3 linked regions of the Coturnix japonica genome follow. The protein of the gene in region 3 interacts with the protein of the main gene of each other region in a biochemical or structural test. Links are inferred from orthologs where the notes say so. Each region holds a gene or a part of one and is shown on either strand. Other genes may lie near its edges.

The links.
Region 1: the proteins of MYOG (region 3) and CSRP3 form a complex in vitro, tested with the Homo sapiens proteins (2 studies listed by BioGRID and IntAct, with this or other methods). The link is inferred for Coturnix japonica from reciprocal best matches to the Homo sapiens genes MYOG and CSRP3.
Region 2: the proteins of MYOG (region 3) and SRF form a complex in vitro, tested with the Homo sapiens proteins (2 studies listed by BioGRID and IntAct). The link is inferred for Coturnix japonica from reciprocal best matches to the Homo sapiens genes MYOG and SRF.

The regions. Positions count from the first base shown.
Region 1 is NC_029520.1:1,434,917-1,437,746, forward strand, and holds the end of CSRP3 (cysteine and glycine-rich protein 3), read right to left. Parts: intron 2,502-2,830; coding exon 2,333-2,501; intron 2,138-2,332; coding exon 2,002-2,137; intron 1,382-2,001; coding exon 1,288-1,381; intron 1,156-1,287; coding exon 1,076-1,155; 3' UTR 594-1,075; downstream 1-593. UniProt on the Homo sapiens protein: Positive regulator of myogenesis. Acts as a cofactor for myogenic bHLH transcription factors such as MYOD1, and probably MYOG and MYF6.
Region 2 is NC_029518.1:3,481,814-3,485,539, forward strand, and holds the end of SRF (serum response factor), read right to left. Parts: intron 3,534-3,726; coding exon 3,342-3,533; intron 2,996-3,341; coding exon 2,919-2,995; intron 2,644-2,918; coding exon 2,548-2,643; 3' UTR 524-2,547; downstream 1-523. UniProt on the Homo sapiens protein: SRF is a transcription factor that binds to the serum response element (SRE), a short sequence of dyad symmetry located 300 bp to the 5' of the site of transcription initiation of some genes (such as FOS).
Region 3 is NC_029541.1:1,351,281-1,355,314, forward strand, and holds the start of MYOG (myogenin), read right to left. Parts: upstream 2,801-4,034; 5' UTR 2,724-2,800; coding exon 2,244-2,723; intron 655-2,243; coding exon 573-654; intron 281-572; coding exon 159-280; 3' UTR 1-158. UniProt on the Homo sapiens protein: Acts as a transcriptional activator that promotes transcription of muscle-specific target genes and plays a role in muscle differentiation, cell cycle exit and muscle atrophy.

The sequences.
Region 1 (2,830 bases), on a different chromosome or scaffold from region 3:
AAAATTGGCCTGTAACTGGTTATCTTACATTGTGAACAGAGTCTATTAACGCTGTATTTGGGGGTCTTATGTGTGATGAAACAGAGTTTTTATGCTTCTAGAAATATTTTACAGATTGAAACAGATTCATGAGAGATACGACCAGGAGTGTATTTAAGAACAGGTAAGCACAAAGCCTAGCTTGTTTGCCTTAAGTTCAGCTCGTGTGTATGCCCTGTTAGGTTATGAAAATTGATAAGGTGATGATAGAAAGCATTAGCATGTATGAAAAAGGCAACTATTCTCACCTGCATACCTACATAGATCTACAACAGCTAACAGTCATGCTCACAAGATGCTACAGCATCATTCCAGTGTGGCAGGCTGAGCAGTGTGTTGGAAGTCAAAGTACTTCATAATAAAAACTATCAGAAGCAGATTGAATTCAGGAAATCAAAGTAAAATGCTGTCTAGAACTAACAATGTAGATGGAAGCAGTGTAATGAGACAGAATTCTTGCAGTCAAGGAATGGGAGATGAAATTTCCTCCTTGAAATGCAGTAGTCTGTGGCACCGTGGGATGTAAAACACAAGCAAATTGAAGTAAACAGAAATGTGAAGCAATAGGAGCACTTTATTGTAGCTTGAAAATGTACAATAACAAAACTTAAACTCTATATTCTAAGAAGACTTGCTTTATCTTCAGAAGGATCTCCCTTTTAGAGAGGGAATTTCAAATACTTCTAAACTGTGTCAAAGTGAATAATATCTACTCTGCCTTAGAAATAATGTTGAAGTCTTCAAAACACTATGAGGAAACTGGCCTAGATCAAAAGACTCTGACCCTTGTGATTCATAGGGTATCTCTGTCCGAATGGGACAGACTCTTTAAAGTCTGAACTGTGGTAAATACTAGTATAAGAACCTGACTTGATCACTGTACCTTTTTTAAGCTGTTCTAAGAGTTGTCCTGCAAGATGGAAAGTATCTCACGAACGCCCTATGTTACAAGCTGTAGGTGATGGCTTTTGTTTTACTTGACAACTATTATCTGCTGACATCAGCAGCAGATTGACTCTGTTGCATCCGCTTCTTTTCACTCGCATTCTTTCTTTTCCACTTGAGTGAGGCCACCAAAACCAATTCCTTTGGGGCCAAAGTTCTTTGCGTAGCAAACTGCAAAAGAAAGGAAAAGGTAAAGAGTATTGTGAATGCTTCCCTAAGTGGCTTTTGTGATTTGTTGTTATCAAGCAATGCAGCAAGGCAAATCACAACAGCAATATTAGGTCTAAAAGGAATAATTCTTACCTTTACAGTAGAGCTCTCCATCTTTGTCTGTAACGTTTGTAGATTCCAAACTCTTTCCACAGATAGCACAGCGGAAGCATGTTTTGTGCCAAGGCTGAAGGGATGAAGATGGTTTGTTATATTACAGAAGATGCAGAGCTAGTGGATGCAAGGAACAGCTGTTGCTTCTTGTTGTGCGGTGAGGTTAATTTTGTCTTCCTGGGCTTACAAGTTCAGTACTTTTTAGATTAGTTTTAGGATCTTATTTAATGAGCTTCTTGTTGTTGGAACTCTGGTAAAAAGCAGAGAGCTGTAGATAGCGCTCTCCTTGGCCACATCATGGTGTGATAATGAGTAAGAGCTTCTAGAGCAGAGGGCCAGCATATCACAGTGCTGTTTTTTCTGGTCATAGGATCTCTTTAATATATCTGCATTTGCCCCTACAAATCAATGTTTAGATTATAACTGTCCCAAGAGATGTTATAGCAGGATGACAGCAGGAGCCAAAAAGGAAGGGTTGACCCTCAGACCTTAAGATGCAAAATGTTGTAGGCTTATGGAAAAGCATAGCTTCAATGTGACTTGAAATCTGACAGTCAGTACGTTGGATGTTTTGCTTATTCAACCTTATGTTTTCTTCATCAACCAGGCAAAATCTTCAAGGGTTATTAGTTATAGCTAATCAGTGTAGGGGGAAAAGGGTTTGTTTGTATTTTTAGTAACCTTTTTACTTACTTTTCCTCCTCCCATTATCTTCTCTGCAGCGTACACTGATTTGCCACAGCGGGGACATTTATCCACATCAACCACCTTCTTGGCAAACTTGGAAGGGTTAGTTGGTGTAGAAGGGCGAGCAGGCTTTGGTGATCCCCTAAAACACAAGTTTGCTGTGTTAAGGTTGGAAAAGACTGCTAAGATCAACAAGTCCAGCATGGAAAAGACACTGTTACAGAGTCAGGAAATCATTGTGATTGGAAAATACCTCTGTTACAGGGTACCTGAAACAGCCCTGAGTGACAGGTAGCACCAGGCAGACACATGGTGCTGCCATTAGGGTTGGACTCACTGTTGCAGGTTCAGGCCCAGATGGTCCCCAGTGTCAGTGCTGAGACATCCAGCCCCTTGTCCAAATCCAACACCTTTGGGGCCGTATTTCCTCCCGTAGCAAGTCTTACAGTAGATTTCAGATTCATGAGCTGCCACTGTGGTGCTGTCCAGAGCCTTCCTGCAAGCCACTGCCAGAAGGAAGAGAGGCATAAAGGGTAAATATCAGTAGACCTGGGGACAGAATGTGCCGTGACAGTGGCACGCAGTAGAGTGCAAGTTGTACCCTCTATGTCACTGCTTTAAATCTAGACTCTGGTTGAATGGACCTGAAGTCTCTGAGTGCGAGCAGCTGCTTGTCTTGGTAGGCATGTGTCCCTTATCTGAAAGGCATGGATGGCACGTGGAGCCAAGAGCCGTTGCTAAGGCCACTCTTATGTCTGCTGAGTCTCATCAGATGGGTATGGAAGGCAGGTTGATCTCTAAGTTCTCTGCTGTGCTTTGCAGATCTGAAACCTGA
Region 2 (3,726 bases), on a different chromosome or scaffold from region 3:
CTGCAAGGTCACGCAGAGCTCAAGGCTTCATGCAGACGCTGCCTCTCGCTGTCGCACTGGAACCAACAAGAGTCACCTACACACGTTGCTCCCCATCCCCGCACACCTTCCCTCGTTCTCCCCGCCCTTCCCGGAGCAGCCCGATGCCCGCAGGCCGCTCTGCTCACCACGCGGCCCAGCTCCGCCTCCGGGCCGCCCCGCTCACCTCCGCCCGCCGCTCCGGCTCCGGGCCTGGCCCCACCGAGACCGGAGGGACGGATCAGAGCCGCTTCCGTGTCCGGCAATGCTCCGCCAGGCGCCTGCGCGATGCCGCCGGGCGGGGCGGGGAGATGGCACCGCCTGCAGCCGGGGCTGGGCAGTAGGGGGCTGTACGATAGTAGAAGGGCTGTGCAGTAGGGGGCTGTACAATAGGGGGCTGTACAGTAGAAGGGCTGTGCAGTAGGGTCTACCCAAGTTCCCCATTCATTGGCTGTATATTCCCTAATGCCCCTCCACCTGCAAAACACGGACAAGACTCCAGCTCTGTGCACAAAATGATAACATTTATTGAAAGAGTAATTTATTCTTTTTTTTTTTTTTTTTCCCATACAAAAGAAAGCTCTGTACATAGTACTGTGATTAACTTCCACATCCTTCCAGATACACGACCCTGGAAACTGGAGGGGAAAAAAGAATCCCACACGCACACACACACACCTATGCACGCACACACACACCCGCACACATGCACGCACACACACAACCCTCAAACCAGTAAAATGAATTAAAAATGTCACCACACAATAAATGCCGTTTCGTCCCTGATACACGAGTGTTCTTACAAGTCTGCACTTAAATAAAAGACACCATTAGCGTTTAACCAGCGGTTGCCTTTGGGGAGGAAGGGAGGAGATGCCCAGCAGGGCACTGCCATCGCAGCCCCATAGGGCCAGCACGAGCAAAGCAGAGCAAAGCACAGCCCTGGTAACGGGCTTGGGGCAAGGTTAACGCACACCCCAAGCTCTCTGCAGAGGTCATGGAAGGAACCCGGCCACATCCGTGCGCTAAAAAACAGCACAAGCTGAGGCTGTGGAGGGGGAAACTCCAGCCCAGCCCCTCAGCTGGGAGTTCAGGAGGTGCCACCTGCACTATGGGCAGGGAGAGCAGAGATAGGCTGCTGACAGCCCCTCATCTCCCAGGGAGGGCCGGGACATCCCAGCAGACAGCACAGTTAAACGCTAACGTGGAGGGAACATGTCCAAGGTTACAATACAAACTCAAAAGCAAGGCCCCTTCCTGCCTCCACGCCCACCCACCCCTCTCCCATCCCCCCGGTACAAACCCCATGAAAACTGTACAGGAGCCAAACTTTTATTCCTTAAAGTATTACATAAATACTGAGTTTAACACTTAGAAAAATAAAGTCATTTTCTTTTTTTTTTTTTTTTTTTTTTTTTTTTTTTTTTTTTTTTTTCCTTTTTTTTTTTTTTTTTTTTTTCCTCCCCCCAAGGCTTCTTTTGTCTTTAACTTAAAAAAAAAAAAAAGAAGTTACAGTAGCTGCTCCTACCCCTAAGGATGCAGCAGCTCCTTTGCTCACTCGCTCTCCCTGCAGGGCCAGGACCAGGCAGCAGCTCCCATGCAGGACCAAGCACACTCCAGTCCTTCTCCTGTGGCCCTGCTGAGGCTCCTCCAGCCCCATTGCTCCCTGGAAGAGCACGCTGCCCACCAGCAGCTCAGTGCCTTGTGGACTCTTCCCTTTGGCACTGGAGTCACTTCTCCACCTTGCATCAGAGAATTTAGAAAGCAGTGGCTGGAGCTGCAGCAGAGGGGTGCAGGAAAGATCCAGTCACATCCCCCCCCCCCTCGGGCGTATGGAGTCCACAAGCAGCATGAGGGCCGAGATGGGAGCTCGGGGCTGGGAGCAAAGACACCGCCCATGGCCTCGCTGAGCTGCTGGGCACCCACTGAGCACTGCAACTGCCAACCCACCGGGCAGCCCAGCAAGGAGGCACTGAGGGCGGAAGCCTTGCTGTAGTGCACATGAGGAGGCTGGGGCCACACGCCAGGCCCAACCAGATATGCACATCCAAGTAGGCCGCTCGCTCCCTGCAGAGCCCAGGGAGAGCTGCCGCAGCCAGGACCCATCCCCCCCACAAAGGCACATTGCTGAGGCTCTGCAGGACAGCACCCAGCCCCAGCCCTACACAAACACCCACAGATGGGGTGAGCACCCCGAAGGGTCCAGGGCCTCCAGCTGGGAAGGGCCCCCAGGATGTATGTACAGCACGGAGCACACCTTCTCCTCACGAGACAAGCTTCTTTGGCTGGCGAGAGACGAGTATCCCAACGGCCCCCAGCCCTGCACGGCCCCAGCACAGCTTCTCCCCAGGCGGGTCCTGCAGCCCCTTGCATGCTGTGTGTGTGGGTGGGTGCGTGTGTGTGCGCATGTGTGGATGAAGGAAACGTGAAAAGGCAACAATAAATAACTGGTGCAGTCTGTACGAGAGAGTTGCTGCCAGCCCCAGCGTGACAAGCCAGGGACGGCACAAGGCCAGCAGCAGAGGCCTCTCAGTCACTCTTGGCGTTGTGTGAGGTGTCCAAGTTGACCACCTGCAGCTCCGTCAGGCTGCTGCTGCTGCTGCTCTGCTGCCCAATGACAGCCATCTAGAGAGAGAAGGGAGGAGCAAGTGCTAAGGGACAGCACTTAAAGACTGCTACCACCAGCAAGCCAGCATCCCTCGCCACTTGCCCAAGGAGGGCAAGAGCTCCTCACCCATGTGTAGGCGGCACAAACAGCTCCTCCAGCTCCCCAAGACCCGAGGACTGGCCCTACTCAAGTGCCCAGGCCCATAAAGGATGTTCAGAGCAGGACCAGCACTGCCCCAGAGGAGAAGCAGGAACAGAACCCACCACATCTGAGAGCACCGCTCTGCACCTACCTGGTGAAGCTGGACAGCTGAGACTGGGATCTGAACGGTGCCTGATGGGGCTGTCAGGAACACCTGGGGGACACCACCTGCCACAGAAAGAATGACATCATTTTCCAGATGCTGGGAACCAAGCATAAGCGTTCAATCCACATCCTGCATGCATGCCTTCACACTGTTTTGGCCCCTCATGCACCCACACATCCCTTCCAGTCTTCCTGACTCCCCCCACGCCAGCAACTCTCACCCTCTCACCCAGAAAATGACTCAAGGAATCCTTTACACAGGAGAAGAGCTGGCTCTAAAAAGCACAGACCCTTGCTGGGTCTTTTCAGTAGATATGATGGTTTAGAAGAAAATCCTCTAGAATGGATACATAGCAAAAAAACACATGGAAAAAGGAGAACCCCCAAAGAAGCACCAACCCAGACTTACCCTGATCCTGGACCTGGCTGTGGGACACCTGCATTGCTGAGGGTGCCTGCGAGAAAGCATTGAGGACTGCAAGTCCACCATCCGCAAGGCCAGAGGTGGGTGCGTACATCACCGCGTGCGGGCTGGGGTACATCATGTGGCCGCCCACGGTGGTTGGCACAGACGACGTCATGATGGTCGCTGGGAGGGTCACTGGCAGCAGGACAAACTACATGTAAGTTACACTGCAGGAACCTGCCACACTTACACACCTGCACAGCCACCCTCCCTCTCAGCCCCCACACGTGCTAGCAGCAGGCATGGGGAGGCACACACAGTGTTCTCCCAGGGAACAAGCAAGAGAGCTTTGGTCAGTGAGAACAAGGCAGCCTTACAGACAACACAA
Region 3 (4,034 bases):
TGGGAGCGTTTGGAGAGGAGTGGGAAAGGATTTGGGCCGTTTCAGTGCTGCAGTCCACAGTGTTGGAGGGGTAATTATGATTTCCAGCAGCTGGATCCTTCCAGCATCTCAATCCCACCCCATTTCCAGCTTGGAGAGCTGCAGGGATTTGTGCCAGCTCAGTTTTGGACCCTTTCCTCTGGGAACGTCACGGCCACGTCCTCCACAGCGATGCTCTCCACAATGGAGGAGAGCGAGTGGAGGTTGCGGTCCTCTGCTGCATCATCACTCAGGAGATGATCTGAGAGAGAAGAGGCAGGGCAATGGGATGGTGGCCCCATGACACCACCCTGTGTGACAACACTGACATGGGGATCTGCTCCCAGATCCCGTCCTGATGGCTGCTTCCAGCACATCGGACAATGGGAGAAGTCTGAGTGCACTCAGGCAGTGCTGGAGGGGTCACCCAACACTGGGGTAGGGGGAGGACAAGGCTCCTCCTGTCCCCTGGCTGTGGGTTTTGGTTCAGGGATGCTCAGCCCCAGCACTGTGGTGTCCCTGGGATGGAGGGCTGAGGAAGGGGAGTTCCTTACCTGTGGGGTTGGTGCCAAACTCCAGCTGGGTGCTCCACTCAGGGCTACAGGATGAGCTGCCAGAGCCACACTCGCTGGGTGCCTGCAAGGACCAAAGTGCTGCACGAGCCCACCTCCACCAGCCAAATCCCACTGCCTGCCCCCAGCACTGCCATCCCTGGCAGTACAGCACCAATATGTGGTCACAGACCCAGAGCAGATGGTGACATTTGGGATCCTAGGGATCCACCAGTGCCAGGTGCATCATTAATCTCCATGAGTTCTGGAAAACCCATTTTGGTGCTCTGGGTGCATGGCCACCTGCTTGCACTCAGGATGCAAAGCTCTGCTGGAGGGGCAGCCAGACAGTATCAAAGTGCCAAGGTCTGAAAGAGGATGAATCTTTGCAAGTCACCCCTTTCTCCCCTTTTACAAAGTCCACTGATGTCAGTATCAATATGTAGATATCTGGTATCTGTATCTATATGCCATTCATCTCAATGTCATCTATATGTACATATCTATATCATTTATATCTGTAATCTATACAGTCTCTATTCATACCCATGCATCTGCAGTCTATATATCACCTATATCTATATATCATTTACATCTCTCATCTACACCTATATCACCCATAACTGCATCCACAGCTCCACATTCCCACATACAAAGCCTCAGCAGCCAGGAGTTGCAAACCATCATCCCCCAGCAACCAGATGGCAGACAAAAATATCCCCCAAAAATGTACTTAAGCCTCCAGAATCTCTTGATGGGGTGGATGGAGCCCAACCACACCCTGTGTGCTGAGGGCAGGATGCCACTGCCTCAAGGATTCTTGCCTGGATCCCAGTTTGGTGCCATTGGACTGAGAAACCAGTGCTGGTCCCCACTAGGACAAGTCCTCATGCACCAGGGGGTCAGGCCTAGAGCATTGTATTACTTTACATTGCTTTATGTTACATTACATTACATAGCTGTTGTTACATTGTTTTCTTACTGTATTGTACCATATTGTGTTGTACTGTATTGCAATGCATTGTACTGTGCTATATTTTTCACTACACTACTTTTCATTGCCATATTTTACCCCGCTTTGTGGCCCACAGACAGGGATTGGAACTGGAGGATCTTTGAGATCCAATCCAACCATCATATGGTTCCATGAATCCATGGTTCTATCATTCCATGACTCAATGATTCTATGATTCCATGACCACATGATTCCATGGTTCTATGATTCCATGTCCTATGGTCCCATTATTTTAGGACTGTATGATTCCTTGACCCAATGATTCCATGTCTCTGTGACCCCACGATTCCATGATTCTATGACCCCATGATTCCATGGTTCTGTGACCCCATGATTCCATGGCTCTATGATTCCATTATTCTATGGTCCTATGATTTTAGGACTGTATGATTCCTTGACCCCATAATTCCATGACTCTATTGCCCCATGATTCCATAGTTCTATGACCACATTCCACAACTCAATGATCCCATAGTTCTACAATTGTTTCTATGACTTAAGCCTTCCCACCCCCCACCAACCCACTGTGCTCAACGCAATGGCCATCAGCCCATTACCCACCAACACCCACTCATAGGGACAGCAAACTGAGCATCACCACCCCATTCCTCCATCACCACCAGCTCCCACCCCCCATCCACACCCATCCCCACACTCACAGCAGGTTGTGGTGCAGTGGGGCGGTAGCGCAGCTCCCTCTGCTCGCGCTCCTGCTGGTTGAGGCTGCTGAGCAGGCTCTGCAGGCGCTCTATGTACTGAATGGCGCTGCGTAGGATCTCCACCTTGGGCAGCCTCTGGTTGGGGTTGAGCAGAGTGCTGCGTTTCAGAGCCTCGAAGGCTTCGTTCACCTTCTTCAGCCTCCTCTTCTCCCTCAGTGTGGCCGCCCGACGTCTGTCAATGGACACGGTTTTGCGCTTGCAGATCTTGCAAGCCCATGGCAAGCATTGCCCAGGGCAGTGATCAGGCAACGTCGAGTCCTTCTCCTCCAAAGCCCCTCTGCTTTCAGGGCACAGGGACACCTCGGGCCGCTCGGGAAACGTGGCTGCCTCGTATCCCTGCAAGCGGGAGCCCAGGAAGTTTTCCCCATCATAAAACCTCTGCTCCGGGAAAAAGTAAGGGTTGGTCTCAAAGAGCTCCATGGGAGGACGTGTGCACAGCTCAGGGACGGCTGCTCCGTTTCCCTGCGCCAACTGCTCGGTGCCATTTAAACCCCAGCGCTGGCATTAAATCACAGAGATAAATATAGAAAACTTAAAGGAAACCTGAGCCCACCATAAGCTGCTGCCTCGCATCAAAACTTGTCCGGCTGCGGCCACGAGGACTGCACAGCTTGGGGAGGGAGGGGGGGGAGATGGTAGGGTGGGAGCTGCCCTGGCTGCCCCAACAGGGGCTTTGTTTGAGCCCGTGGGTGGCACTGGGGTTGCCAGCCCCAAACTGCATTCCTGTGTCATCTGGTCCCTTCAGTTATGGGGTGAAGTGGTCGGAGTAGGGGCAGCTGTGCAATGGGGTGCAGAGCCCAGTGCTGCTTGGAGCTCCTCACTTCTGTGCTGTGCCTCCTGTGTTCCCCCCAGAGCTGTGGGGCAGGAGAGAAACACAGCCCTGAGAGGGATGGCTCCCACCTTCCCAGTGGGGAAACTGAGGCATGGCAATGGGCTTTTGGTGAGCACAATGGGATGGGGTTTTCTCCCTTCCCCAAGACTCCAACCGCATCTCCCCGGCTTTGTCTGTAATCCTGAGGGCTTTTTTCCACCGGGAACGTCAGAAACCATCTCCCACCTCCTCCTATTCCTGCTCTGGGCCAGATTCCAGCAGAGGGATCGGTCAGTGGAAAGAATGTCAGACAAGAGTAGAGCTGACCCTGCAGGGATTTTATTCCCCAAATCACCCTCTCTGAGGAAGCACATTCCCCACACCCACCCACCCACCAGCACCCTGCCTGACTTTGGGTTCATTTAGAGCCATTTGGGGCCCTTCCTGGTGCTCTCCAACTGGGGGCCAGCCCTCTGCCAGCTCAGACAAGGATTCCTTTGGGGCCACAAGGAAAAGCATGCAAATGGTGATGAGGAGCAGACACAAAGCAGATAGGAGGGGAGAACCCAAGCCAGTGGTTTCCATCTGTGTTCTGCTGGTGGGACTTGCTGGTGGCCACAGCCCTGGTGATGGAAACCAGTGCCATTGCTCCAGCTCTGGGTGGGTTTTATTAATTTCGAGTGTGTTTGGAGGGTGAGGACACCGGGGTGAAACAACAGCTCCTTGGGCACGTGGCAGGGCCATATAGCAGAGTGGCCAAGCATTTAGCACTTCATAAAACATGGGCAGTGTTCTGCAGCAGTACCAGGGCTTTCCTGATCAGTAAGGGAGCATGAGAAGGGGATAAATTGGTCCCCAGGGCCCTGTGGGCTTTGTGCATCCAGTAGGTTCACGCTCCCCCACAGATGAGTAAGCAGCCA